Linked DNA regions of Macaca mulatta. The protein of the gene in region 1 purifies or fractionates together with the protein of each later gene. This does not show direct contact. Links are inferred from orthologs where the notes say so. Each region holds a gene or a part of one and is shown on either strand. Other genes may lie near its edges. The genes, in order: OBSL1 and CAMKK2.

What was found.
Region 2: the proteins of OBSL1 (region 1) and CAMKK2 purify together in Homo sapiens (affinity purification with mass spectrometry; 4 studies listed by BioGRID and IntAct, with this or other methods). This does not show direct contact. The link is inferred for Macaca mulatta from reciprocal best matches to the Homo sapiens genes OBSL1 and CAMKK2.

Annotation. Positions count from the first base shown.
Region 1 is NC_133417.1:124,794,225-124,796,912, reverse strand, and holds part of OBSL1 (obscurin-like protein 1), read left to right. Parts: intron 1-390; coding exon 391-657; intron 658-1,431; coding exon 1,432-1,544; intron 1,545-2,091; coding exon 2,092-2,248; intron 2,249-2,418; coding exon 2,419-2,580; intron 2,581-2,688. UniProt on the Homo sapiens protein: Core component of the 3M complex, a complex required to regulate microtubule dynamics and genome integrity. It is unclear how the 3M complex regulates microtubules, it could act by controlling the level of a microtubule stabilizer.
Region 2 is NC_133416.1:128,648,317-128,652,790, forward strand, and holds the start of CAMKK2 (calcium/calmodulin-dependent protein kinase kinase 2), read right to left. Parts: upstream 2,940-4,474; 5' UTR 2,833-2,939; coding exon 2,700-2,832; intron 1-2,699. UniProt on the Homo sapiens protein: Calcium/calmodulin-dependent protein kinase belonging to a proposed calcium-triggered signaling cascade involved in a number of cellular processes. Isoform 1, isoform 2 and isoform 3 phosphorylate CAMK1 and CAMK4. Isoform 3 phosphorylates CAMK1D.

The DNA.
Region 1 (2,688 bases):
GGGCAACTGGGGCCCAGAGAGGTCAGGCCATTTGCCAAAGATCACACAGCACACTAACTATGTGGTAGAGCGAGGTTCCATTCTAGTGTGTCTGACGCCAAATTCCATGCTCCTTCAAGTGTCACAGTACCCCTCACCCAGACTCCATGACCCCCTAACTACACTTCTCCCCCTTCCTGTGCCCTCATCTCCTAACCCTAATATAGCCCTCCCCCTGCCAAGTCTGTCCGCTGTGCCCCTTTCTTCCTGCACACTGGTTCTGAACTTTTTTGGTCAGGACCTTAGGTTGGATGTTGGGGGGTGTAGGCAGGACCAAGGGATGAGGATCGACTGCAGTCCCTGCCCAGAGCTGGAGGCCTCATCCTCCCTTTCTCCATCTCCCCCGGCCAGCAAGGCAGCTGAGGGTGCTGCGGCCTCTGGAGGACGTGACCGTCAGTGAGGGAGGCAGCGCCACCTTCCAGCTGGAGCTGTCCCAGGAAGGTGTAACCGGGGAGTGGGCCCGGGGTGGAGTCCGGCTGCATCCAGGGCCCAAGTGTCACATCCACTCAGAGGGCCACAGTCACCGACTGGTACTCAAAGGCCTGCGCCTGGCTGACTCAGGCTGCGTCTCCTTCACGGCGGATTCCCTGCGCTGCGCAGCCAGACTCGTTGTGAGAGGTGTGGCTCCAGGACCACAGCCTGCCTGCTGACCTGTGTGGCCCTACTCACCCCAGGCATGAATACTGACCCTCGACTCGTGTGACCCCCATTGACCATGCCTGTCTCAGTGTGGCCCTCATTGACATCCCTGCCAGAGTGTGACCCCCCCCCCCGACTCTTAGGCCGTGTGTGGCCCCAGAGACTCCTCTGCCTGAGTGTGGCCCCTGACTGCCCCAGGCTCAGCCAACCACTGACTCTGCTACTGTGAGCATGCCCATGCCATTGTGGTCACTGCTGTCTGCCCGCCTGCACACCATCCCACTGACCACTCTTAACTTGACCCTACTGGCTACACTGCCTGCCATGGCTCCCTCTGCCTGTCCAGTCCCTCAAATCCACTGACTGCCTGAGGGTGACATCACTAGCAACTCTGCTTGAGTGTCCCCCATGTTTGCTTCCAGCCCCAGGATGTTCCTACTGACCACTCCACTGGCATCTCTGCTTGTTTCCCCATTGCCCTCTGGCCCCCAGCTTCTCCCCCACTGACCACCTTAAAGTGTGACTCCCGGTTGGCCACTCCTAACCCATTGGCCCTGTGGCCCTGCCTACCACCGCCCCCCACCCCCCGTCCCCACCACTGACGGGTCCTTCTTGGACCACTTGTCCCAGCTCATCCCCCACTCGCTAGTGTCCTCTACTGACACCTTGTGCCCAAGTGTATGTCCTCCTTGTCCCTACAAGATTGGTCCCCATCCTGCTCCCTCTGCACTGTCCTCCCTCTCCCACTCCCAGAGGTCCCAGTGACCATCGTGCAGGGGCCACAGGACCTAGAGGTGACCGAGGGCGACACAGCGACGTTGGAGTGCGAGCTTTCCCAAGCTTTGGCTGATGTTACCTGGGAGAAGGTCAGATCCCAGCCCCAGCCCAGCCCACTTCAACATAACACCAACAATAATAATGCCCCAGACAGAAACAACTAATACTTAAGCGGATGTGCCTGGCACTGTGCTAAGATTTGCATTGTATTTTATCCCTTACTCCAAGGACAACTCTAGGAGGTAGGTCTTGTCACTGTGATACCTATGAGGAAACTGATGCTCAGTGGAACAAATTACCTACCCAAGGGCAGACAAAAGGTAGAGCCCATATTTGAATCCAGGTTTGCCTAACTCCAGAATCCGTGCCCATGTCCCCTGTGATCCATACCTGGCTCTGGGCTTCCCGAGCACCTTGGCGGCCCTAAGGTCCCCAAAAAGTGACACTTTTTCAAAGAGGCTCCTGGCACGACCCCAAAGGCGTGGGGACAGCCCGACCCCAGCCTGGGAACACGAGACACGCATAAACGCGCCTCGAGACTGCTTGGCATTAACAGAGGGTGCTGCCGCCTGCCAGGGCCGGGGTCGCCTGTGCCCAGCCGGGCCCGCCCCGACCCTCTGCAACTCACGCCCCTAGGACGGGAACGCGCTCACTCCCAGTCCGCGGCTCCGGCTCCAGGCCCTCGGCACGCGCCGCCTTCTCCAGCTGCGGCGCTGCAGCCCCTCGGACGCTGGGACCTACAGCTGCGCGGTGGGGACGACCCGCGCCGGGCCGGTCCGCCTGACCGTGCGCGGTGGGTATGGGGTGATGCGGAGGCTGGGCACTGCTTTGGGCATGAGACTTGCGAAGCGGTCTTCCCCCGACCCTGCTGACCGCGCGTGCTTCTAGGAAGGGGGCGTGGAGGGGGCGTGGTCGGTACCTGCCCTCCACCCCGCCCCGCTCACGCCCCGGGCTCCGCCCCAGAACGTACGGTGGCGGTGCTCTCCGAGCTGCGGTCGGTGAGCGCCCGTGAAGGCGACGGCGCCACGTTCGAGTGCACCGTATCGGAGGTCGAGACCACAGGGCGCTGGGAGCTCGGAGGCCGCCCGCTGAGACCCGGAGCCCGCGTCCGCATCAGACAGGAAGGTCTGGCCTCCTGGTTACCCTCTCGGGCCCCTCGCTGCCCCGCCCAGACTCGGACAGATCCCGCCCCACCGGGACAAGCCCCGCCCCTGACTCGGACGGGCCCCGCCC
Region 2 (4,474 bases), on another chromosome or scaffold:
GAATGGCGTGAACCCGGGGGGCGGAGCTTGCAGTGAGCCGAGATCACGCCACTGCACTCCAGCCTGGGGCACAGAGCGACTCCGTCTCAAAAAAAAAAAAAAAAAGAAATGTCGGGCACAGTGGCTCACACCTGTAATCCTCCCAGCAGGTTGGGAGGCCAAGACAGGTGGATCACCTGAGGTCAGGAGTTCAAGACCAACCTGGCCAACCTGGTGAAACCCCATCTCTACTAAAAATACAGAATTAGCTGGGCGTGGTGGCGGGCACCTGTAATCCCAGCTACTCAGGAGGCTGAGGCAGGAGAATCACTTGAACCCAGCAGGTGGAGGCTGCAGTAACTGAGCCGAGATCGCGCCACTGCACTCCAGCCTGGGGGACTGAACGAGACTCGTCTCAAAAAATAAAAATAAAAAAGGTTAACACATCCCCTTAGGCTGTCAATTCTTACCATCTCTGGGACCGAACATTAACCTTTGGTTAACGTGTTTGACAAATTCTGCTGGACAAATGTCACAGGTACCGCTGGAATTCAGGGAGTACATTTGTGGACAGACACCTGTGGATGATGGCCACTTCGTGCTAGTCACCCACATCACAAAGGGTCTCTCTGGACCAGCCTGGCCAACATGGTGAAACCCCGTCTCTACTAAAAATACAAAAATTAGCCAGGCGTAGTGGCACATGCCTATAATCCTAGCTACTCGAGAGGCTGAGGCAGGAGAATCGCTTGAACCCGGGAGGCAGAGGTTGCAGTGAGCTGAGGTTGCGCCATTGCACTCCAGCCTGGCAACAGAGGGAGACTCCGTCTCAAAAAAAAGGAAAAAAAAAGGGCCTCTCTAGATGTCCCAGGAAAAGAGTGGGGGCCCAGTAGAGATTTTATGAATGAATAAAATGGTATCTCTGATGACACTGGGTGGTAGTGGGGTAACAGAGAGGAAGGTACAGACAGCAGAAAGCCAGAGCTCCCTGGAGGATCTGGCTGAGAGGCAGAAACTGTCCCTCAGTGCTCTCGGAACGGTCCTTTCAGAAGAACTGATGGAATAGCTACTATGCCAGCATGCGGCAGGGAAAGCCCAACAGGAAAGACAAAAGGGAAAAACCCAACATCCCAGCCCTGTCACGGGCCTGACTCATGCACACAGAGTGTGTGGTAAGAGAACGCCAAAGAGTCCAATCATGTGGCAAGATGTTCAACCTCATAGTAAGAGAACTGCAAATCCAAACTACAATGAGGCAGCCTGCTGGCTCCCCAAACAGTTAAACATAGAGTTATCATATAACCAGCAACTCCTCTCCTAGGTACAGACCCAAAAGAAGTGAAAGCAGGGATTCAAACAGATACTTGTACACTAATGTTCATAGCAACATCATTAACAATAGCCAAAAGGTATAGCCAAGTGTCCATCAATAGAAGAATGAATAAACAAAACGTGGCAGAGCCATACAACAGAATACTATACAGCCACAATAAAGAAGGAAACTCTGACTCATGCTACAACACAGACGAACTGTGAAGATATATGCTAAGTGAAACGAGCCAGATACTAAAGGACAAGTGTTGTAAGATTGCAGTTACATAAAGTATCTAGAATAGTCACATTCAGGCCAGGTGCAATGGTTCACACCTATAATCCCAACACCTTGGGAGGCCAAAGCGGGCAGATCATTTGAGGTTAGGAGTTCCAGACCAGCCTGGCCAATGTGGTGAAACCCCATCGCTACTAAAAATACAAAAATTGGCCGGGCGCGGTGGCTCAAGCCTGTAATCCCAGCACTTTGGGAGGCCGAGACGGGCGGATCACGAGGTCAGGAGATCGAGACCATCCTGGCTGACACGGTGAAACCCCGTCTCTACTTTAAAAATACAAAAAACTAGCCGGGCGAGGTGGCGGCGCCTGTAGTCCCAGCTACTCGGGAGGCTGAGGCAGGAGAATGGCGTGAACCCGGGAGGCGGAGCTTGCAGTGAGCTGAGATCCAGCCACTGCACTCCAGCCTGGGCGGCAGAGCGAGACTCCGTCTCAAAAATAAAAAAATAATAAAATAAAATAAAATAAAATAAAAAAATAAAAATACAAAAATTAGCCAGGCGTGGTGGTAGGTACTGTAGTCCCAGCTACTCAGGAGGCTGAGGCAAGAGAATCACTTGAACCCGGGAGGCAGAGGTTGCAGTGAGGTGAGTTTGCACCACCACACTCCAGCCTGGGTAACAGAGTAAGACTGTCTAAAAAAAAAAAAAAAAAAAAAAAAAAAAAAAAAAAACTTTAAAGGAAAGAAAATACCTGTAACCATGATTGGAGTTATGATGATAAGGCCTAGGATGCTACGGGATCAGATGGGGCAGGAGGTCAGGAGAGGGAAGCAGTTGGTCTTATCTCCTATTTCTCTGTCCCTCATTCCCCCTTACTGATCTGAGAAAGAAAGAAATCAACTCTGTCCGTCTCAGCTTCCCCATCAACGAGAGAATACAACTCAAGTTCGATATTTCTCCGTGGCCCTAGCTGCTGCTACTTGACTTCTTTTCACGATCCTTATCTCTTAGAAGAGGAAACTCGGATCCCCTCAAGCTCAATAGCCTACGGTCATTGACCTCCTGTAAAGTTGGTGCCCATCCCATAGTCATAGGATTAGATGAACCAAGCACTCAGAATCCTGCCCGGCAAGTGGTTAAGTGCTCAAAAACTATTACTTCAACAAATACCTGTTGGATGCTGATATGGTTTGACTCTGCATCCCCTCCCAAATCTCATCTTGAATTGTACTCCCATAATTCCCGTGTGTTGTGGGAGGGACCCGGTGGGAGACAACTGAATCATGGTGGCAGTTTCCCCCATACTGTTCTCGTGGTAGTAAGTCTCACGAGATCTGATGGTTTTATCAGGGGGTTCCGCTTTTGCGTCTTCCTCATTCTCTCTGCCTGCTGCCGTCCATGTAAGACGGGACTTGCTCCTCCTTGCCTTCTGCCGTCCATGTAAGACGGGACTTGCTCCTCCTTGCCTTCTGCCATGATCGTGGTGCTTCCCCAGCCACGTGGAACTATAAGTCCAGTTAAACCTCTTTATGTTATAAATTGTCCAGTCTCAGATATGTCTTTATCAGCAGTGTGAAAACGGACTAATACAGATGCCCACGGCCTGCTCTGGTAGGTAGCCTATGCTCTGGAATGTTCCCACGAGGACTGATGTCCAAGCAAGCTGGTCTGCTCTTGAGTGTGTCTCTCAGCCCGGCCTGCGTCCCCCAGGGCAGGCGGTCAGTCTCTCCCCCATCCTAGAGCTGCCTCTGACAGGGCTGCAAGAGTTCCTGAGAAGAAAATGAGGCCCAGCAGTGCCTGGGAAAGTCAAAGGAGATTTTTTTTTTTTTTTCTCACCAACAGGAAAACAATTGCTTATCGAAGCCTACACCAGGCCAAGGGCACCCAGCCATCTGCCCCCGGCAAGGCTGTTTTTAATCGGCCTCCTTGGCAAGCTGGCATCTGGCCCTGGCCTCCCTCACAGCTCTGATGGAGTCTCGGCCTTTGCGGTCTGGAGGAGGATGGAGAGGAGAGATGGCTCAAACCCAGGGCGGGGACCTCGGCGCTGGCAGGGCAGGCGTGAAACCCCAGAGCTCAGCAGACAGGAGGCCCGGGGACACAGGCCTCAGTGCTGCAGGCTCTGACAGGAAGAGATGCATCCAGGGGCTTCTCGCCTCACAGACACCTACAGAGTCTAGGCCAGTGTCCTGAATGGTTTGGGAGTCACAGACCCTACAAAGACCTGATGAAAGCTACCAACACTCTGTGCAGAAGAAAGAAATCATGCAAAAAGACAATAGTTTAGCCTAGAAACAGCAACGGCTAACATTCAACTGAGCTCTCATCAGGCATCCAGCACCAAGCTAATCGCCTGGCCATGTAACCCTCACAGGACAGGCCCTCTGCCAGGGAAGGACAGTGAAGCATTCGATTCCAGGGGGTGGAGAGTGAGAGGACTTTTTTGCAAAGTTGCTTGGATTTGACAAAATGTCAGCCCTGGCCCTGCATCCTTTCCCATGAAATCCAGGCAGAGGCCATCCCCCAAGGCCGTGCCTCTACCCTGTTCCCTCTTACGGGGCAGCTCATCACGAGCCACCAGAGCCTTCCTGGAGCAGATGGCCCCGGGACCTGGGCCAGGATGAGGGAAACGCTCCTTCCTCTGCCAGGAAGCTGAGTGGCGCAGGCCTCCAGGAAACACCTTCTCATTTCCTAGGGGCTGTTTCCAACCTGCGTCCGCTGCCTCCCGTGCGGCAAGCTGCCAGTGGGTGCCAAGGAGGTGCTCCCAAGCCCAGACACACCTGTACAGGCTCCCCTGAGGTTGCCTCATCCCAAGCACAACAAAAAGGCCCAAAACAGCTCCAAGGATCCTGCCAAGGCCACGGATGATGTCCTGCCCGGGACATCAATGTCCTCCCTGGGAAAATGGGCTCAGCCAGCCACACCCTGTCTCACATGGGGAAACTGAG